3 linked regions of the Oryctolagus cuniculus genome follow. The protein of the gene in region 1 purifies or fractionates together with the protein of each later gene. This does not show direct contact. Links are inferred from orthologs where the notes say so. Each region holds a gene or a part of one and is shown in the gene's direction. Other genes may lie near its edges.

Region 1 (7,868 bases):
TTGCTGCTTTTCCCAGGCCATTAGAAGGGAGCAGGAGGGGCCCCAGGGCTGTGGTGTAGTGGGTGAGGGCCACTACCTACAGTGCCAGCATGCCATATGGGCGCTGGTCTGAGTTCCAGCTCCTCCACTTCTGATCCAGCTCTGTTATGGCCTGGGAAAGCAGTAGAAGATGGCCCAAGTCCATGTGGGTCCCTGCACCCACATGGGAGACCCAGAAGAAGCTCCTGGCTCCTGGCTTCAGATCACTGCATCCCTGGCCATTGTGGCCAACTGAGGAGTGAACCAGTGGATGGAAGACCTCTCTCCCTCTGCCTTTCCTTCTCTCTCTGTGTAACTCCGACTTTCAAATAAATAAAAATAAATCTTAAAAAAAAAAAAAAAAAAAGGAGCAGGGTCAGAAGGGAGCTGGGACAGGAACTGGTGCCCATATGGGATCCTGGAGCTGCAGCAGCTCACCAGGCCACAATGCTGGCACAAGTCCTCACTTTCAAAACTGATAAAATGCTAGAAATTTGGTCAAACTGTGGATCAATGGATCTTTGTACGACTACAACTGAGAGTGAACATTGTGGCACAGCCAGTTAAGCCACTGCTTATGCTATGTGAGGAAAGTAAGGAAAATCAGGTGTCTAGACAGAGAGTGTAGAGCTTGTCATGGAAAGGAAAGGGTTTCGGCAATTAGAGGGGAAAAGGCGGCTCTGGCGTCAGAGTGACCAGTGGCCAGTTTATGGTGGTCATATGCCTGTACAGTTTTGGCAGTCTGAGGAAGATAAGCAACTCCCTTGACAGATTCTAAGATAAAGTGCTTTCGCCACACTGTAGAGTCTTTAAGGTTTATGTATATAAACTCCACTAGTTAGTTTCAGTGGAATTCTGTTCCCCTCTAGGCTACAGAAGTTCTTCTCTTTGCTTTTTCAATAAAATTCTTTGCTAATCGCCATCTCGTCTGCTTCTTTATCACTCTCATACTTCCTTGGGGATAGAGCATGTTCCTGGGGTTCATCCCAGCTGCAGTGGATGGAATGCCTGGTTGGAATCCAACTTCCTGCTAACGTGCCTGGGAGGCAGCAGGTGATTGCCTCAGTACTTGAGCTCCTGCCACCCATCTGGGAGACCAGGATGGAGTTCCGGGTTCCTGGCTTTGGCCTGGCCTAGCCCTGGCTATTGTGGGCACCTAGGGAGTGAACCTACAGATGGAGGGTCTCTGCTGTTCCTCCACCTACCCCCTCTATAATTCTTTCAAATAGATAAATAAATAAATAAATAAATATGTAAACAAATCTTTTAAAAAACACACACAATACACTCTTTCCACCAGGTGAAGCACTAACTCAGTAGCCTCCTTGCGGGAATCTCTGCATTCACTTCTTTCTCATGTGCCTTTGCACAGTTCAAACTCACCCCCTCTCCTTTCCAATTGAGAACTTTTGAAAGGTGTACCACTGCTCTTAGGACAAGAACAAAAACTCAGAAGGGCTGCCTCCTGATACAAGCCTTTCCAACTCCTCTTGTCTGGAATGTGCTTCTCTTCCAGTTAATGCTCCCTACCCCTGCAGCTCTATCTTGGGAAAGCCTCCCGTTATCTTCCTAAGCCAAATTCCCGGTTTCACATTCTCCACTTAATTCTGCTTTGTAGCATTGCCACTACTGCAATTTCACATTCACTGGTGAGTCCGTTTAGTTTCACATCTCTCACCAGACTTAGCTTCAAGAAGGGTCATGCTAGCTTCGCCACATTTTCCTAGGACACATGTGAAGGGCTGAACGCAAGTGCCTTCCAATGTGTTACAGGACGAATCAGAACATCGGCTCGCTTTGAGAAAATAAAAATTCCACACAGAGTCTTTTTTCCCTCCCCCTCAAGGGAAGGGCCTGGTTTCAGAGTTACTAAACAAGACACACACAAAATGCGGAGCACAGACCGAATCTTTCCTCTTGAACTCCAGGAGATGCTGGGTTTGAAGGAAACTGCCCGACACATAGAGGCAGGCGCTTCAAATAACTTAAGACGCCGATTTTTAACAGCGGCTTGGCAGAGAGTTTCGAATGTCTACCATGCTAGCCCAGATGCCCTCTTCCGCCCTCCTGGGTCACCCACCCCCCGCCCCGTCTCACGCTAGGGGATGGGAAAGTCGTACACAATCCGGTTCAGCATCCGGGTCCTCTCCCTCCTTTCTTTCTTTCCCCTCTGTCCACCCCCCATCCTCCTCCGCCCTCCTTGCCATCCGGGTCCCCCCCAGCCGCCAGAACTGCCGCTCACGGTTCAACGATGATATCACGACTTTCACGCCGCCGGTCCGGGAGTAGCCACACCCAGCATCAACTTCCCACTTTGTAGTTCAGACCAAGGCTCCTCCCGATGCCTACATGAATCCCTCCCCCCGCTTCACTACAGAACTCTCCGCCCTCCTCAGCCGCCAGCGACACCGCATTACTCGATGCAAGAAAATGCGCCATCCTGGTCACACTGCGCAGGCGTCGTTGCCGCCTCCCCACCGCTTTGTCGCCCCGCCCCCTTTCCCTCCCTGTCCCGTCTCGCGCGGCGCGGGGCCTTGCGGGTTGTGCAGTTCTCCTGAGCGAAGGTTTGAGCGTTGGCCTGGGTTGGCTGGACTACATTTCCCAGGAAGCTTTGAGGCGTAACTTTCTGTTTCCATAGAACTGGTGGGAAAATGGCGTCGTTGTTTGTATCCTTGGGACCAGTAGGAAGAGGGTATAGGCGGGTTTTAAAGAAAAATAACCAATCCGAGGTCGCCTAAGAGGCCATCCGGGAAAGAGGTAGGGGAGGGGAAAGAAAACTAGGGGAGGGGAGAAAGGAGGGAAGGGGGGGAATCTAGGGTGGTGGGGGGGGAAGCGATGTTTGCCCGTCAGTCGAGTCCGGAGTGAGGAGCTCGGGCGCCGAAGCTGAGGGAGACTCTTGGGCTTAAGCTTGCCGCCACCACGGCCACCGCCTGGACCTTTGCCTCGAGGGAGCCGCAGAGGGTCCATCGCCGTCGTCCTCTGGAGGGCAGCGCGATTGGGGGCCCGGACCTCCAGTCCAGGAGGGATTTTTCGTCGTCCCCCCTCCCCCCAGCGAGGGAACCCGAGCGGCCGCCAAACAAAGGTACCAGTCGCCGCCGCGGGAGGAGGAGGAGCCGGAGCCTCAGCTTCAGCAGCCACTGGACCCACCGCCCTTCTTCCCCATCTCTCCCCCGGGCCTGCTGGTTTTGGGGGGGGTGGAGGAGAGGGGACTCTGGACGTGCCAGGGTCAGATCTCGCCTCCGAGGAAGGTAGGGGTTATTTTCCGGGGCTTTCGCGGTCTTCTAAGGGGGTCCTTTTGGGAGTCGCTGGGCCCGGTCGAGGAGCAGGGGGTAGATGGCTGTGGTGGTCTCCCCAGCGCCCCGATTCGGGGCCTCGGCCTCCCGGGGCCCCCGCCCCCCCGCAGCAGCCGAGTCCGAGCCGCCCCCTGGCCGGGCGGCCGCACACTCAGCGGTTTAGCGGCCCTTGGCCGCGGCTGGGGGCCCAGGCGGGGTGGGGGTCCGTGCTGCCTCCCAGGCCCTCGGTCCTCTCGCCGTCCCCGCGGCGGGGGCAGATGTTGATCTCGCTCGCACTTGTCGGGTCTCGGCTTTGAACGGGACGTGGGCAGAGGCTCTGGGGTGGGCTGGTCTTGCCTTCGGCCCTCGGGCCCGTCCTGCCCCTCGGCGGCCCCCGGCCGGGCTCCGGCTCCGACGCGGGGTTGCGAGGCCGGTGGGGGCGCGGACCGGCTCAGCCCGGCGACGAGGCCCGCGGGGGAGGGCGGCCGGCCCCGCGCCGGACCCCGGGCTTGTTGTGAGTTTCTTCACTGACAGAAATGGCGTCATTGTCGGAGACGGGAAACTCCGTCGGGTCCCGACAATGGGGACGGGAAGCTGCCGAGCTGTGTAGGTGGCCGTGTTTGCGGGGATGGCGAGGCCAGAGGGAGCCCCGAATCGGCTCATGGTGGTTCCGGGGCCGATTCCCTCTCTGCAAGGCTCTTTCTCTGGGCTTCGGGCATCGCTCGCTTTCTTCTCTACTCCGCCGCTGGTGCAGAGGGGTGCCCGTGGTGTTAACTGGGTGTCTTTTGTTTCCCCTCCAGGTGCAGGTGAATCTGGTGTTTCTGAGCGGAACGCAGTCCCAGATTCACCATGAAGGTAAGTCTGCCCGCAGAAAAAGAACCTCTGGGTTTTAGAATTCAGAAAGCAGGGGCTTGAGCCGCGGTCGTCGTGTGCGGCCTTCGAGTTTTGCAGGGGAGGATGTGTTTGGTGGCTTGGGGCTGAGCCCCTCCCAGGAGACGATAGGGGTCAGCTGGTGGGAATGTGCACGGGCTTTGCTGTGGAGTTGTGGAGTTAGTTCTAGGATATCTCGTGGAGGGTGAGTCTTCCGTATAGAACGGCTTTTTACAGGGAACGGTAGCAATAACTGCACGCCTCTAAGTGTTTTAAAAGGTAAAAACAAAAAGCAGGTCAAGTAATCTGACTCTAGAAACGGAACTGTATTGTGGTTCTGTCGGTTACACTGATGAAAGAAAATCTCATTTCGTGTGGAAATAGTACTGTGAATTTTAGCAGAAAACCTGTTTAATAGCCACAAAAATCATCATCATGCAAAGATCTTGAAACAGAATTTTGATGATCTTTACGCAGTTCAGAGATGGCACTTGTTCCTGTATTTCCAGAGATATTTCCAGAGATTTAAGCTTGTATGTCCCCCACCTCTTTATAAAGGCCTTCTTAGCCTGCAAATTGTTGGATGCTGTGTTGCATTGTAATGTGTGAGAAACTGATGGCCAGCTTCCTCTTAAATGTAAACATGTTAACTGAATGGAGGATAGGGTCTGAAAAATGCAATTTGTCTAGTTGGTGGAAGAAATTATAGCAGTTGAAGTACAGGTGCATTTTTTTTTTCTCTTTCGAGAATGTGTAAATGACTGCAGTCTTATTTTTTTTACCCTCTAGAATAAAAAGCCTTCTGATAACTAAAATGTCTAGGTTCAACTGGTGGACGTTAGTTACTAGCAGATATTTTTTCATCCGTTACAAATTCAGAGGTGCTTTAAAGGGGTAGATTGTGTTAACAAGCTCAGGAATGCAACAGACAGCACGTTAGCTTGTAAATGTCATCTACTTTTGACAGTTCCTTCAAATTGTTTTTTCAGAAATAGATTTTACTTCTCTTTAGAATCAAGACTGCCTTTTCAGTACTTTGTCTAAGTTAAAATTTGTAATGTTTGTGCTTATGGAAGAAAAGTAAAAGCTGTGGTTATTTAAGTATTCACTATTCGAAGTAATTTAGCCCAGCTTTTTAAAGATTCTTTCTTGACTTTGGGACACCATAAAATGCCTGAAACAGTTCGTATTTGCTGAGTTGCTGTCTCACTTCCTTGAAAACGTAACCGGTGAGGTTTTAGAAATGAATCCCTTTTGTTGGTCGCAACTCCTGTGACCTGCGTAAAATAGTGAAAAGTGGATTTATTGGGAGAACCATGTACATTCCTTGATGTAGGTTGAAAATTTCTTAAGAAAACAGTGGGTTGAATAATGTATACTAAAAAGTGTAGAAGCTGAGTAAATTCAGGGTTTAGTTTGGAACAAATGTTGTAATCTGTCACGGTGCCCAGTGTAGTGCTTGACACATCTTAGGTACTCTGTAAATGTTTGGTCAAAAGAAATATAGTAAGTTGGAGTTCTTTTAGATTTTTCTTTGTTCCTTTCGTTCTGCACCCACTTTTTTTTTTTAAACTTGTCTGTCTAAAAAATGAAAGTATGTTGGAAACTTTAGTCTTAAAAGTTTCATGGTATTAGAAAAATGCAAATTTTTGGTATCGTTTTTGAACTACTAGGTTTAAGTGTTCACCATTTCCATTCTTACTGTCTTTTATAAAAATGTGCTGGTAATGTTGAAAGGAAAGAGAAATTTCTAACTTTATACAAGAAAACTTCCTGTTGTTGTAACAGGTACTCTCTTAGGGAATTTACTAGTAATGACTAGTGCTAAGAACTTAGCTTATTTCTTACGGTTTTTACTATGCCAAAAGATACGAAGCTGCCTGTGATTTATATTTTACTTTAGCAAAAATTGCAATTCAGATATATTTAATGTTGATTGTGTTGGACCTAATTTTTTTTTCATGTTCCTAATTTAAATATTATAATGACAAATGAGCTGTAGAAGGATTTACACCATTTATTGGATCTTACCAAGCAAGCTTTTTTTTTTTTATTTATTTATTTTATTTTATTTTTATTTTTTTGACAGGCAGAGTGGACAGTGAGAGAGAGAGACAGAGAGAAAGGTCTTCCTTTGCCGTTGGTTCACCCTCCAATGGCCGCCGCGGCCAGCGCGATGCGGCCGGCGCACCGCGCTGATCCGATGGCAGGAGCCAGGAGCCAGGTGCTTTTCCTGGTCTCCCATGGGGTGCAGGGCCCAAGCACCTGGGCCATCCTCCACTGCACTCCCTGGCCACAGCAGAGGGCTGGCCTGGAAGAGGGGCAACCGGGACAGAATCCGGCGCCCCGACCGGGACTAGAACCCGGTGTGCCGGCGCCGCTAGGCGGAGGATTAGCCTAGTGAGCCGCGGCGCTGGCCACCAAGCAAGCTTTTAAATATGAATTGTATGTTCTGTCAGTGACAACTTTTTTTGAGTCCATTAAGTCACAGAGTATTGAGGTAATTGAAAGAGTACAGTAACAGTTTCTGGTCATTGCTTGAAAGTCCCAAAATAAAGAGAAATGTCCTTGCACATGAGGTGGCATAAAGTTCACGGAATTTGTATATTACAGAAAAACTATGCCTGGATTTCTGAAGTTTTTTGCATTAATTTACCGTGAACTTTTTGAAAGTCTTCTTGTATGTGCCAGTTTGAGCAGAAATTTTCCTGTTGTACTATCTTCAAGAATTTATTTAAATAAATACAGCCGCTTTACTGGCTAGTGTGCTTTTATCTTGTCATATTTTTACATAGTATACTTTTGAGAAATATGATTTGTAATACAAAAGCAGTTTGCTGTAATGTTGTCATGTATAACACTGATGTTGAATTTATTTTTTGTGCTCTTCAACATCAGTGATAGGACATAATTAGGAAACGGTAGATTATTAGCATTTGTAAATAATTGAGACTTAATTTTAATTATGTCAGATTTATTTCCTTCTTTTTCCTAACTAAACCTTTTTCTGCTTTTATGTTGTGCCTGTTATTAACATCTGTCATTACATTGCAGTAAATGTTCAAATGAAATTGGGCCAGATGGACTAGATATATATCACAATCTTTAAGGGATTGAGTGATTTAGTGGTTGTACTTGTAATGTGAGTAGATTGGCTTTTTCAGATGTACTATTCTGTCTTCAGTAATCACTGACTTACGCCATATAAAAATAATGGACTGATTACAAATGCTCTTTTTAAAAGGCCTGTGAATTAAAAATCTTTCTCTCCTTGCATCCCCCCTTACTTCCTTCCTCTCTCCCCTTTTCTGCCTTCCATCTCTTCTTCCCTTTCCTTCCTTCCATCTGCCTTGCCCCCTTTCATAAATCATTCGTTCAGTAACAACCCATTACACGTGTCAGGCAGTGTGGAACAAAGGTGAATAAGCTATCTGACCACTCAAGGAGCTCACAATTTACTAGAAGAAACAGAAAAATAAAGCAAAGCATATAGCAGACTGAATTATAAGAGTGTTTATTCTATCATACAGTAATTGTGGTAAGTGCTATGAGAGGACAGAAGAGGACTTCTAAATCAGAGAGTCACTGAAAGTTTTCTGGTGGAGTTGGCATCTAAGCTGAATGTTGAAACTTTGACTTGGCAAAAAAGAGGAGAAAAGAGTGTTTGAGGAGTAGCTGTTTGGCTTAGCGGTTGGGATGCCCATATCA
Region 2 (7,192 bases), on another chromosome or scaffold:
GGTGTACAGAACTTTCCATATGATCTGGGCTACATGCTTTCTCTCTGGTGCTCCCTTGGATAGGGTGAGCCTCCTAAACATTTTGTTTTCCAAGTTAGGTTTGAATATTGCAAAGCCTCACCGCTGACATCAAACCACCTTACAGTCTGTAACTTTCACTCAGCTCATAATGCCTTGACTTCTTAAAAGGACTTTACATAGCTTTTTTTTCCTTCTTAAAAATATAATAAAAATCAGAATTGCTGAAATTCTGGTTATGCCAGGCACTATACTCAGGGCTTCACTTGTATCATTGTGTAACTCTTAGAGTACTCTGCTAGGGAGAGACTGATATTTCCATTCTCTACACGAGGGAGCGAGCAACATAGAGCATTTATGCAGGCTGCAGGTACAGATTTGTTAGTGTTCATTATGTCTGTGATGGTTATTTTACCTTTACTTGATTCATAGGGAAAAATTCAATTATTGCCCATTTTTTGGGAGCAAGATCCAGAAATATTTGTTGTTGTATGTTTCCTAAATAGTCAGATCCTGCACATTGCTGTAGTAGAATTCCATAACCCTGCCTGTCTGCTCTGCTGACAGTGTGCGTCATTATCAGTGAGCTTTATCTCATGATCAGGTGTGACCTCATCTTGTCATTCTGCAGAAAGTTTTGTGAGGCCCACACAGCGTGCCCCAGCTCTTGCTGGGTAGGGGCAGTCTCCATGCTGCAGTGCAGTCTCAATGTCTGATGTCCTGTAGTGTGGCACTTGGCATAGGAACAATGCTCTGGTTACTTGGAAGATGGGCTGGGTCTCTGCCCATGGAAACTATAACAAAGGGGAATATTGGATGGATGTTATGTGGGAGTTTGCCAGGTAGGATGAGGGGCAGGCAGAGGCTTGAAAGGATGGAAGTAGGTTGCCTGTGGGTAAGAGAGCTCACAGCTGGAGTATAGGGTGAGTGTCAATGAAGGAGAAATGAGCAAGTCCAGAAATAAGGCATGGCATTTGTAGAGTGGCAAGCCAGTGCTACGTTTAGTAAGAAGAGTGAGTGAGAGGCAGGATATTCTAATTTGTATCTTAGGAAGGTCACTTGAGCACAGGTGGTCCTTGGGGTAGGTTAGTGAATAGATGAGGGCATAGTTTTGCAAGAACTGATGTCTAGTGAATTTGATGCTTGCGTGAAGGCCGTCACAGAGGACACTTTGGTTTGCAAGGATGAATAGGTTAGATGGTCCTGAGATGCAGAAGAGGCAGCTGTGGGAGGGGAGGAAAGAGATCTTTTGGAATGGAGAGAGAGTGTGGTGTTGGGTGTAGGCTGCCATTCCAAGGGGTGGCTGGAGCGAGAATTAATGATTGGGAATTGGGGTCATCGTTATTTGAGGACCAGGCCAGCAGGAAAGAACCCTGAGGAGGTGACAGAGCAGAGATTTGTGCAGCCAAGGCTGGGAAGGCAGGGATTGTAAGGCAGGGAAGTCAGCTGCAGTTCAGACTACAGAGAGAAGTCAGGAAGAATGAGAACAGGCTTTTCTTATGAGCCTTCAGTATGTCATTCTTGATGGTCAAGTAACCACAAAAGACTGTAAGAGGAGAAAAGGGTCTGAGTTTGTAAATGGAGACTTATTATACAAATGTTGGCACAGAGGCCAGTGGCCTCTGAAAGAGCCTTCTGTACCAGTGAGCTTCCCTCCCGTCTGTGGGAACAGCAGACATCTGTGACCTGAGACGACCCCCAGGTTCCTTTCACTCTCGAGATCCGATGAATCTGTAGCTTCGTAATTTGAGGGAGGGGATATCCCCTAGCTTTTGAGGTTGGAGAGATGATTGCAGTGTTAGACTGTGGGGCTACGTTTCGAGAGGATTGTACACCTAGATCAGCTGGTCTTGAATCTTATAAACATGAACTCTGAAATCTAATATGAGCATCTGGCTTGGGCCATGTGTAGACCAAACATTCCCCAGTGAAATGGTTCTGCATGAGTGACTCTGGGGTAGGTAATTCTTATAGTAGAGAAATTCTTACTGACTGGGAATTAGATTTGTCCATTCTGTTCTTGCCACAGATTCTATGGAAGTGAAACCCATCATGACCAGAAAGTTGCGGAGGCGACCAAATGACCCTGTCCCCATCCCAGACAAGAGGAGAAAACCTGCTCCTGATATCCATTTGGATCAAGTTTTAGTCACTTTTTTCTCTTAAGATTGTAGAATCATTTGCCTGTCCATTTGATAGAGTATATATGGCTGTCGTCTTACAGAGCATAGCAACATTTGATTGGAAAGCATCTGTGAGTTATCCATCCACAGGTTGCGGCTGGGCCATTTTATTATCGCAGTCCGTAATTGCTAATTGCTGCTATTAATGGGAGAGATTTATAGAGAGGAGTTATTTGAAAAGGTACTTTGTGTTGGAAATCCAGCCGGGGCAACTGAAAAATTAATGTGCCTTAATTTTTCCACCTGTAAAATGAGGATAGTAATATCTGCCTTTATGTGCCTCAGTTACCTAAATCCCTAAAGTAGTGGATTGAAAACTGTTCTTAAAACAGATGAGATTTAATTCAGATATAAAGCAGCCTCTTTAATCATAAAAATGGGAATGATATGTGGGGAGAAGTGTGTGTGTGTGTGTGTGTGTGTGTGTGTGTATGTATGTATGTATGTATGTGTGTTTTGAGTAAAAGTCTTCAGATCTTTGGAACAAAAGCAGCCTATAAATTCAGGATGAAATTCTTTACTATTTCCTGTGTTCTTGCTATTTTACATACCTACTGAGTCTCATTTTACCTTCTCATCATAGTTTGTAAGGTTGGGGATGTAAATTGTTTTTTATAGCTGGACACCACGACATTTAGTAGGGAAATCAACTTTGCAGGAAGCAAAGTATTATAAAAGTATCATTTAACAAAGCTACATTTTGTAAGCTCTGTAATACTGGTGCCATTTTGTTGCCTTCTGTTTCTTTGCAAACCGTACTTTTCAGACACATTCCTTTAACTCTCAACACCTCAGCTAAACTATTTGTTAACAGATGAACAGATCATGGAGGATCTGAGAACGTTAAATAAGGTACAATTTGATTTTTTCTTAAACTTCTTTGGAAGTCAAAGCTTGACGTGGTTTCCTGCTTCACTTTGTTGTATTGCTTTTACATCATGATACCTCTGACACCTTCAGTTGCTTCTGAAATGATTTTCTCTAAGATTTTTTTGTTGTTCTTCCTACAGCTTAAGTCACCCAAGAGACCAGGTAAGTGCATTATGTTATTGGCGTTTGCAATCTTTTTATTGTATTGTTGTAAAAGCATGCAAATACATGTCAGTGAATTGTTGATGTTTCAAAAATAAAATATTTAGTGTGGGCCCAAAAGCAGTCATGATGAAAACTGAAAGGGATCTTAAGTGTGTCCCTCCTTTGACTATCTTTTTTTTTTTACCTTGGTATGTCATTCTTGTCTTTTCTTTAGGATTTATTATAAAAGACTTTTGACTGGTAGAGGTTCTTTCTATGTGGGCATCAGGCGTAAGATTCAACTTGATATGCATTTTTTTGACAATGAATTATGAAGGGTTTTCCAGTAGGACTCACATTCTGAAGTGAAGCTAGAGGCGTTTCCACGGCCTGATTCTGCTGCCGCGTCCTTGCTATAGGAGAAGCTGACCCAGTGTTCACAGTGGTTTCTTCCAGGGCAGCACTTGAGGGCATGCCAGTTTGCATACTGGAATAATTGCTTGGTAAGGCCTTAAGTGTGGGGTCACTTACACATCCCTCTCCCCACTAAGTTTATTGCAGGCAAAAAGCAACTTGGTGTAGACACAGTCCTGAGTGCCATAGTAGTCCACAGGGACGTCTTGAAGGGGAGAGGGCTTTGAGTGTGTGACCCTACTGTAGTTCTGGAAATTGTCGTTTTTTGAAAGAGATTTTCATTGTTCCTGCCTTTTTTGGACTTCCGATCACCAGGGATTTATTCTTACTCTGATTGTGTATAACTTACACATTGGACCTTAAAGCTTCCTGAGCCTCAGGTTGCTCTTTTGCTCGGAAGGTTAAGTCTGTGACTTGACTACCTCGTTAGGTTGCCTTGAGGGTCAAATTAGATGCAGTGTACAAGAACTGTGTTGAATTCCCATGCATTACTAACATTATAGGAGCTTGAGGGTCATGATTCCACTGCATTCTGATGGCAGTTCAATTATAGCATGCTGGGTGGCGGGCTCAACACGTGTTTGGTACGTACTTAGTCATTCCAGTGTGTCTGGTTCCTCCAGCATCCCCATCCTCTCCTGAACACTTGCCTACTACACCTGCAGAGTCTCCTGCCCAGCGGTTTGAAGCTCGGATCGAAGATGGCAAACTGTACTATGATAAAAGATGGTATGTTACGGGAACACCTGGATTACTTTAAGAGTCTAATAAGAACCAGTTGGAGAGGATCTGGGGCTCTCTACAGTTGTGTGTGTGTGTGTGTGTGTGTTTTTTTTTTTTTTTTTAAGACTTACTTATTTATTTGAGAGGCAGAGAGAGAGATCTTCCATGCTCTGGTTCACTCCCCAAATGGCCACAATGGCCAGAGCTGGTCCGATTTGAAGCCCGAAGCCAGGAGCTTCTTCCAGGTTTCCCATGTGGGTACAAGTGCCCAAGGACTTGGACCATCTTCTGCTTTCCCAGGTGCATTAGCAGGGAGCTGGATCAGAAGTGGAGTAGCAGGACTCAAACCTGCCCCCATATGGGATGCTGGCACTGCAGGTGGCGGCTTTTAACTGCTGTGCCACAGCACTGCCCCCATCTACAGTTGTTTTTCAGAGCATAACTGCAGAATAACTTCACAGTAGTACAAGTGGAACTCCATTTGAAAATGTTCCAGCAGTTACGTGTTGGACACCTATGTTGGATCTCAGCACAATTTTTGAAGTGTGTGTGTGTCTCTGTGTGTGTGTATTTAAGAAGATGTATTAATTTATTTTGAGGGAGTTATGGAGAGAAAGGGAAAAACAGAGAGATCTTCCACCTGCTGGTTCACTCCCTAGGTGGCTTCATTGGCTGTAGTATATGTTTCTTTTTGCCTCCTCTGAACTCTGCCCCTGTGTGCTCAAGTTAATAGGTGTTCTGCACCTAAAAGGATTTTGTGATCACATCAGTTTGGGAGAAGACCATGTTAATTAAGATAAATGGCGGGGAGGGCCAGTGCTGTGGCATAGAAGGTTGAGCCGCTACCTGTGGTGTGAGCATCCCATATGGGCGCCAATTCTTGTCCCAGCTGCTCCTCTTCTGATCCAGCTTCCTGCTACTGTGCCTGGGAAGGTAGTGGAAGATGGCCCAAGTCCTTGGGTTCCCGCCACCCATGTGGGAGAACTAGAGGAGGTTCTTGGCTTCCGCCTGGCCCAACCCCAGCTTTTGTGGCCATTTGGGAAGTGAACTAGTGGATGGAAGATTTTCTGTCTCCTCTTTCTCAGTATATCTGCCTTTCAAATAAATAAATCTTAAAACAACAAAAAGGTAAATGGTTTTTGTTCTTGTAGCCTTCTTTGGATCCTGTGATATGCTGAGGTGCTCTGAATTTCTAAGATTTTAGGTATTTTTTGATAGCTGTATCTTTTCTTCATGCATCATCCTGCTATACAAGTGTACCAGGAAGCTTACTTGGGGGAATTGCATCCTAAAGCATTTCTACTTGAGAGTGAAGAGTGTTTTAGACCTTCAGACTGACAGCATTTTTTAACTAGAAAGGAAGTGGCAAAACAATATGAAAAAACCGTAAGATCTCATACATTTATTCATTCAACAGACACTTACTGTCTGCTTCGTGTTAGGTGTTCTGCTAGGTGTTAAATCACCCTGGGTCTTGCCATGTTTTCACAGTGATTTTAATTCTGACACACTTCTTTCTGCTCTTTGGCCATACTCGGGCTTACTGTTCTGTGTAAGTCAAAGTAGACACATGATTACATCCTGCCTTTCCACTTGGTTACATGGAGAATGTTTATGCTTTGCTGTAATTATCATTTTTAACGACTATATAGTGATTCTGAGTTTCAGTATCTTTATTTAGCAAAAGTTCCAAAATTAGGGTAATGGTTATTTTGAAACTTTTTAACTATTTTAAGGGAAAAAGTCCCCAGAATGTTGTTAGTTGGTTACCTTATATAGTACATTGACAAAATACTCTGAGATCTTGTCATGCCTGAAATAATTTTCTCCTATTAAGTTCCAGTCAGTGAGTTGGCTGGTAGGTGATGGAGTCTTGCTGTGTTTCTAAGCCTGATCATAGTGACCTCTGTCCCTTTTTTTTTTTTTTTTTTTTTTAAGATTTATTTATTTACTTGAAAGTGTTACAGAGAGAGAGAAGGAGAGGCAGAGAGAGAGGTCCTTCATCTGCTGGTTCACTCCCTAATTGGCTGCAATGGCTGGAGCTGCACCAATCTGAAGCCAGGAGCCTCCTCCTGGTCTCCCTTGCGGGTACGGGGCCTAAGGACTTGGGTCATCTTTTACTGCTTTCCCAGGCCATAGCAGAGAGCTGGATCAGAAGTGGAGCAGCTGGGACTTGAGCAGGCACCCATATGGGATGCTGGCACTGCAGGTGGCAGCTTTACCCATTATGCTACAGTGCCAGCCCCAACCTCTGTCTCTCTAATTTGGCTATTTGATGCTCTTAAAGTCTAGCTACCACTGTATGTTAACGTTGCTTATCAGAGCACATCACCACTAGGTGGCAGGCTCTAACAGCTTAACACAGTGGGGCAAACTAAGATGAAAAATGTTTCTAATAATGAAAACCAAATAACCTTTAAAGATCAAGCCCACACATAGAACCATCTTTGGAAATGATGAGATTTATCACTAACATTTTTATGGATCTGTGAGTCTTAAAGCCATGTGATATTTCAAATGATGTTCATTTTGTAATTACGTTGCTTTGGATCTCCATCCCTCCCTCCTTCTATGCTTAATCCTTAGACTTTATGAGACGTGTCTTGAGGCTGAACATGCAGTAAAATAAAACTTTTTTTTAAAGAAAGGCTGCCCATTGACTGATGTTTCATAACATAAATGGAGCAGTCACATTTGATGTGTTAGGACTCCTAACCAATTCAAAGGAATTTTCACCATCTTTCTCATATTAGCAGCAAGCATTTAAAAAATAATGTATCTGGAAGCATTTTACTTTGTTGTTCGGTGTATTTCAAGAATGTTGTTTTCTGTATTTTGAA
Region 3 (7,192 bases), on another chromosome or scaffold:
TCTTTTTCTGTACCTTTAGGACACATCCTCCTCCGGCTTGTGTGCCCACCACGCTGGCCCCTCTGTTCAGGCTCCTTTGCTGAATTCCGCCTCCTCTCCTACCTCATAATGGTCAGTGTCCCAGGGCTCCGTCCACAGAGTGCTTCTGTTGCTATCAGGATTTCCTCCCTGGATGGCCTCGTTCACTCACACGGGTTCATGGCTTTTTAAAAAGGCTATTTATTTATTTAAGATTTATTATTTTACTTGAAAGGCAGAGTTACAGAGAAAGAGAGAGGGAAAGGGAGATAGATCTTCCATCTGCTGGTTCACTCCCCAAATGACTCCAACAGCCAAGACTTGGCCAGGCTGAAGCCAGGAGCCTGGAACTCCATCCGGGTCTCCCACATGGGTGGCAGGGGTCCTTTAGCAGGGAGGTGGATTGGAGTGGAGCAGCAGGGACCTGAACCGACATAAGGGATGCTGGCATCATAGGCCACGGTTTAACCCACTGAGCCACAGCAATAATGTATATGTTTTTAAAACTCACTGTTTGTTTACTTGTATCTATTTACTTTGGTTTATCATGCCATGAAATGTCCTTTCCTGAATATGTTTAGTCTGACACATTGACGGAAAGATGCCGTGGGAAACCCAGGAGAGGATACGAAAGTTTCTCTGTTGGGCTGTTTGTCTATTCTCCGGCTTTGGATGATTCCCTTGGCTCTCTGTGTTAGAAGCTGACAGCAGCCCTGGCTCAGGCTGCAGGGCTCAATGGCAGGAACGGTTCCAGCACTGATGGGACAAAGCAAGTATGCCTCTGTCCTCTTAGAGCTTATGTTCTAGTAAAGGAGACAAATGTAAGAATCTAGTATCTTACTCATTTAGGTGACAAGAGCTTTAAGATAAAAAAAAGTAAGCACTGGAATTTTAAAAAAGGTTTTAAGGGGCATGTGTATGGCCTAGTTGTTAAGACACCAGCTAAGATGCCCGCGTTCCATACCGCAGTGCCTATGATGAAATACTGACTCCTCCACTTCAATCCAGCTCCTTGTTAGTGCGCCTGGAAGGCAGCAGAGGAGGACTCAAGTACTTGGGCTCCTGACACTCAGTGGGAGGCCCAGATGGAATTCCTGGCTTCTGGCTTTGGCCTGGCCCATCCCCATCCCTGGTTGTGGCAGGCATTTGGGGAGTGAACCAGTGGATGGAAGAGCTCCTTACCTCTCTCTTCCTCTTCCTTAGAAAGTTTAAAAAAAAAAAAAACAACAACCCCTATGAGCCTGCATGAGGCCATCCAGGGAGGAAATCCTGATAGAAATAGAAGCACTCTGTAGACAGCGACCATTGTGAGGCAGGAGAGGAGGTGGAATTCAGCAAAGGAGCCTGAAGAGAGGGGCCAGAGTGGTGGGCACGCAAGCCAGAGTATGGCATGTCCTGTGAGGAAAGGGCAGCGACATTCCCAGGAGGAGGGAATCACCTGCTGTGCTGATCACCTGCCGTGGGGAGGCGGGACTGAGCAGTGACCCCTTAGTTTAGCCACGCGGAGGTGCAGAGACCTCGAGAAGGGTGGTTTTCCTGTAATGAGAAGGGTAAAGGCCCGACTGGGAGCAAGTCCAGGAGAAAGCAGAAGAACAGAGACACTGTATACAGACAGTGCTGCTGAGGGGTTGCTGGAGCCCCAGCCATCACATCTGAGTTCTGGAGTCACAGAAAGAAGATGAGAAGTAGAAGGTCAAACCTTCCTTTTAAGGAAACTTCCTAGAAGTCCAATAGAACCCTTCCAATTCCATCTTAAATGACCACACCTGCAACACATTCTTTGAGCTGAGTGGCACTGTGCCCGTGTCAGTGAGGGTCCTTGCAACTAAGGAGGACGAGGACCCGGTGCACTAGGAAGTAGCTGACGGCATCTGCGCTGCTGTGCTTGGCACAGCCCCCACCCGCACAGGAGAGTGTGGTCCATGTTAGCTGCCTGAACTGCCTTCTAACGACTGTCAATTCTGCAAAGCGAGTTCTCTGTTGAGTTTGGGTTCTCATGGCTGTGTTTGCTGCATTTTCTCTCACAGCAGTTCCTCCCCTGGCTACCAACACTGTGTCGCCATCGCTCGCATTGCTAGCCAACAACCTGTCCATGCCTGCAAGTGACCTACCACCCGGTGCCTCCCCAAGGAAGAAGCCGCGAAAGCAGCAGCATGTGATCTCCACGGAAGAAGGAGATATGATGGAGACAAACAGCACTGATGACGAGAAGTCCACTGCCAAGAGTCTCCTGGTGAAGGCCGAGAAGCGCAAGTCTCCTCCCAAGGAGTACATCGGTAACGTCGCTGAGGCCCGCTCTTGTCGCCTGCCCTGCCCACGGAAGTCGGGAGTCCGTCCTGGGCTTCTTTATGGCTTCAGTGTTAACCCACGGGTTGCTGATGGGACTGAAGATACACAGTAAACTATTGATACTCCTCTTTTCTCTCCTCTTGAACAGATGAGGAAGGTGTGAGGTATGTCCCAGTGCGTCCGAGGCCTCCCATCACCTTGCTCCGTCACTATCGGAATCCCTGGAAAGCTGCTTATCATCACTTTCAGAGGTACAGTGACGTCCGGGTCAAAGGTTAGTTTCCCTAGAGACATCTGGTGTTAATGCATGCAATGGGGATAGCACTTGACTGTATACTAACCACAATATAAAAAGAGAAATAATCAGAATTTTTCAGTTTCCAAAACACCAAATTTTTGTTGTAACTGTTTTGGAGACTGTGGTTGTTTAAGTGAAGTATCTGGGTTGTCCCAGAAAGTTATGTGTGTTTATTGGAATTCGAGTCTAATGGCTAAGTTGACAGCCTTGGCTTTAGTCGATTCCCTGTGTTAACAGCTCCCTAAGCGCTAGCAGAATGAGCTCTTAGCCCCCAGGGCGCTCCTGGGAGAGCTGTGTATGGTTGCTGTTTGACATAGTTCCTAGGTTGCTAAGATGTCTTAAGCACTTCAGAACAGTCATGGAAAACATGCATTATGAAAGAACTATGCATGGATTTCAGAAGTTTTTGCACCAAAACAAGCTAGTCTTTTAACTCCATTTTCCATGAGCCTTTTGAATACCCTCATAGCTACTATGCTGTATTGTTTAAGGAATGATAACAAGGGGAAAGTGTGGGTATGTTCAGAGCAGCTGCAAATTTTTCCCCCAAATATTTGCAATCTGCAGTTGGTTGAATCCACAGATGTGGAACTCACAGATACAGAGGGGCTGACTGTACTCTGAGATTTGAAAAGATGAGACTAGTGGAAGTCAGAGAGTGTAGCCTTCAGTGGAGACAGGCTTCCGACCTCTAGACATCTGTTCCTGCCTGGAGAGTTCCGCAGTAATAAAACATTCAGGGATTTGCAGCCTTACTAAAACATTCTTACTGCTTATTGGGCCGCCTCCTCCAAAACTCTCGGGAGGGTGGGTGTTGTGGCCACCACTTGGGATTCCCACATTCCAAATTCCAGTGCCTGGGTTCAAGTCCCACCTCTGCTTCTGAATCAGCTTCCTGCTGATGCACACTCTGGGAGGCAGCAGAGATGACTGAAGTGCTCGGGTCCCTGCCACCCACATGGGAGACCCAGATGGAGTTTCTGGCTTCAGTCTGACCCATTTCTGGCTGTAGTAGGCATTTGAGATGTCAACCAGTAGATGAGAGATCATCTCCCCTCACTCTTCATCACTCTGCCTTTCAAATAAAAATAAATAGTAAAAAATACTTGATTGGGAAAGATAACTTGACAAGTGAAAGGTTTATGAGCCTGAAACCTCCTTTGCACCAAACCTCTTAATTATTAAACTTTAGTTGAATGACTTTACCTAAGTTTTGAAATCCTATTCTTAAAATAAATGAAGCTGGAATGTTATAGGAAATAATTGACAGGGGTGAAAAATAGGGAAATGAGCTGAAATACAGGAAGCAAACAGAAAATGGACAGTAACATAGTAAACTGAAACCAGAACATCAACAATTGCTTTAAACGCAGAGAGTTTAAACATACCAATTAAAACAGACTGGCAGGGAGCTGGCTTGGTGTACAGCACATTCAGCTGCCGCCTGAAATGCAGACCCCATGTGAGTGCTGGTTCATGTCCTGTCTGCCCTGGTTCCAGTCCAGCTCCCTGGTAATGCTCCTAGGAAAGCAAGGGAAGATGGCCCCTGCCACCCACGTGGGAGACCCAGATGGACTTCCTGACTCCTGGAGTCAGCCTGTCCTGGCTCTGGCCTTAGTGGCCATTTGGGGAGTGAATCAGCAGATGAAGATTTGTTTCCCCATCTCCCTTCTTTCTCTGTCTCTCTGTGTTTCAAGTAAATAAATCAATAAATCTTTAAAAAACAAAAAGCAGATTGACAGAGTGAATGAAAAAACACAATCCAGTTATGCTATCTACAGTGACATAGGTAGACTGACAATAAAAGAATGGGAAAATGTGTACAAGGATTATTAAAAAAAAAAAAAAAAAAAGAGGTTGCTTTCAGGTAAAGTATACTTCAGAAGAAAAAAGCTGGGGCTGGTGCTGTGGCACAGCTTGTTAAGCTACTGCCTGCAGCGCCAGCATCCCATATGGATGCTGGTTCAAGTCCTGGCTGCTCCACTTCTGATCCAGCTCCCTGCTAATATGTCTGGGGAAGCAGCAGAGGATGGCCCAGGTACTTTGATCCCTGCCACCCATGTGGGAACCTGGCTCCTGGTATTGGCTCAGCTCAGCTCTGGCCATTGTGGCCATTTGGGGAGTGAACCAGCAGATGGAAGATTCTCTCTCACTCGCTTGCTCTCTCTTCCTCCCACTCTCCCCCCTTCTCTCTCTGTGTATCTGCCTTTTAAATAAATAAACCTTTACCCAAAAAAAAAGAAGCTTAATACAAAAAGAGCAGAAGTAAATGTAATTGAAAACAAAAATAATAGCAAAAATGAGAAACTAGTTCTTGGAAAAAAAGAATCAGAGAATACACAAATCCTGACTATCAAGAATACAATGGGGGGCCGGCGCCGCGGCTCACTAGGCTAATCCTCCGCCTAGCGGCGCCGGCACACCGGGTTCTAGTCCCGGTCGGGGCGCCGGATTCTGTCCCGGTTGCCCCACTTCCAGGCCAGCCCTCTGCTGTGGCCAGGGAGTGCAGTGGAGGATGGCCCAGGTGCTTGGGCCCTGCACCCCATGGGAGACCAGGAGAAGCACCTGGCTCCTGGCTCCTGCCATCGGATCAGCGCGGTGCGCCGGCCGCAGCGCGCCAACCGCGGCGGCCATTGGAGGGTGAACCAACGGCAAAGGAAGACCTTTCTCTCTGTCTCTCTCTCTCACTGTCCACTCTGCCTGTCAAAAAATAAAAAAAAAAAAAAAAAAAAAAAAAAAAAAGAATACAATGGGGGCTGGCGCTGCGGCTCAATAGGCTAATCCTCCGCCTTGCGGTGCCAGCACACCAGGTTCTAGTCCTGGTCGGGGTGCTGGATTCTGTCCCGGTTGCTCCTCTTCCAGGCCAGCTCTCTGCTGTGGCCCAGGGGTGCAGTGGAGGATGGCCCAAGCCCTTGGGCCCTGCACCTGCATGGGAGACCAGGAGAAGCACCTGGCTCCCGGCTTCGGATCAGCGCGGTGCGCCAGCCGCAGCGGCCATTGGAGGGTGAACCAATGGTAAAGACAGACCTTTCTCTCTGTCTCTCTCTCTCACTGTCCACTCTGCCTGTCAAAAATTAAAAAAAAAAAAAAAAAAAAAAAGAATACAATGGGATAGCACTGCAGGGCATGCAGAGGGGTTTTCTTCCATGCTGTACAGTATAGACAGGCAAAGGAGGTAACTTCACAGATGTCTGCCAGGTGCCGAGGTCAGCGCCAGCTGTGCTGAGCCACATTGACTAACGCTGTGTGTCCTTCCTAGGATGTGAGGAGCATGGCACCTAGTCTCTGGTGCTCCTCTCAGAAACCCATTGGCAGTTGATCCTGAGAGATTCATTGGACTCAGGACAGTGTACCGAATACTTGACCGTTAGCTTCACAGTTGCCAGGGATGTCAGAAATAAGCAAGGGCTGAGAAGTGGCACAGCCAAGAGGAATCTTACGGAGACAATGAGAAATCAATCTGAATTCCTGGAAAGGTTCCTGGCACAGTAAAAGTCATTAAAAAAATTAAAGTCCAACATTAGCAACTATTACAGAAATGCAAATTAAGGAACAATGAGATCACAAAAAAAACCACATTCAAACAACTGAGTTAGAAAATAGTGACAATTGTGAATGCCAGTGCAGAAGTAGAAAAACTAGATTCCTCTTACATGGCCTTGAGTACTCTGAATTTGTCGTCCGACTGCCTTCCAGCCCCTGTGGTTTCTGCCAAGAAGTCAGCTGTTAATTATACCGGGGTTTGCTTGTAAATTCAGTATTTTTAAAAGAATTTCAGTGCCCTTTTTTCTTTTTTTTTAATTTGAGAGAAAGCTCCCATCTGCTGGTTCACTCCACAGATGCTCATACCAGCTGGGGCTGTGCCAGGAACTCAGTCAGGATCTCCTGGGTGGGTGGCAGGGGCCCAAGTTCCTGAGTCATCAGCTGCTGCCTCCTGGGGTACACATGAGCAGGAAGCCGGGACTGGGAGCTGGACACTCTCATATGGGATGTGGGCATTCCAGGTGGGTCTTACCTGCGAGGCCAAATACCTACCCCTGAAGAATCATTTTTTTCTCTCGCTAGTTTGAAAATGTTCTCCCTGTCTTTGACTTTTGGCATTTTTTACTATGGAGGTGTATTTGTGGTTCTCTTTGCATTTGTCAAACTTGTTGTTCCTTGAGCTTCCTGGATGTGTAGGGTGTCTGTCAAAAATTTGGGGAATTTTCTTCCACTGTTTCTTGGAGGATTCCTTCTCCTCTCTCTCTCTCTGTCTCCCCTCCTGGTGCCCCATCCCATGTTGGTTCTCAGAGAAATGCCCTGCATTTCACTGGGGCGCTGCTCATTATCCTGGTGCCACCTCAGTTCTGCTTTGAGCCCCTCTAGAGAATTTCGTCATTTCTGTTTCTTCGTCAGTATTTTCTGTTGCACCTGCCGTGCATGGTCATAATGCCCTCCCTCACCTCTTCTGCCAGTGCCTCCTCTTAGTGCTCTTAGTGCTGTGAGCGGTTTGTTTGTTTTTTGGTTGTCGGTCAAATCTTTTTTTTTTTTTTGAAGGCTTTTATTTAATGAATACAAATTTCATACATACAGCTTTTAGGGGCTGTG

Evidence for each region. The genes of interacting proteins can lie anywhere in the genome.
Region 2: the proteins of ARID4B (region 1) and SUDS3 purify together in Homo sapiens (affinity purification with western blotting; 3 studies listed by BioGRID, with this or other methods). This does not show direct contact. The link is inferred for Oryctolagus cuniculus from reciprocal best matches to the Homo sapiens genes ARID4B and SUDS3.
Region 3: the proteins of ARID4B (region 1) and SAP130 fractionate together in Homo sapiens (co-fractionation; 4 studies listed by BioGRID, with this or other methods). This does not show direct contact. The link is inferred for Oryctolagus cuniculus from reciprocal best matches to the Homo sapiens genes ARID4B and SAP130.

The regions. Positions count from the first base shown.
Region 1 is NC_091444.1:54,582,321-54,590,188, reverse strand, and holds the start of ARID4B (AT-rich interactive domain-containing protein 4B), read left to right. Parts: upstream 1-2,685; 5' UTR 2,686-2,775; intron 2,776-2,803; exon of another isoform or gene 2,804-3,266; intron 3,267-3,833; exon of another isoform or gene 3,834-3,896; intron 3,897-4,090; 5' UTR 4,091-4,139; coding exon 4,140-4,145; intron 4,146-7,868. Other genes in the region: GGPS1 (geranylgeranyl pyrophosphate synthase), read right to left, coding at 1,697-1,721. UniProt on the Homo sapiens protein: Acts as a transcriptional repressor. May function in the assembly and/or enzymatic activity of the Sin3A corepressor complex or in mediating interactions between the complex and other regulatory complexes.
Region 2 is NC_091452.1:14,545,036-14,552,227, forward strand, and holds part of SUDS3 (sin3 histone deacetylase corepressor complex component SDS3), read left to right. Parts: intron 1-2,047; coding exon 2,048-2,143; intron 2,144-2,991; coding exon 2,992-3,053; intron 3,054-3,211; coding exon 3,212-3,233; intron 3,234-4,252; coding exon 4,253-4,358; intron 4,359-7,192.
Region 3 is NC_091434.1:118,396,378-118,403,569, reverse strand, and holds part of SAP130 (histone deacetylase complex subunit SAP130), read left to right. Parts: intron 1-2,045; coding exon 2,046-2,294; intron 2,295-2,455; coding exon 2,456-2,581; intron 2,582-7,192. UniProt on the Homo sapiens protein: Acts as a transcriptional repressor. May function in the assembly and/or enzymatic activity of the mSin3A corepressor complex or in mediating interactions between the complex and other regulatory complexes.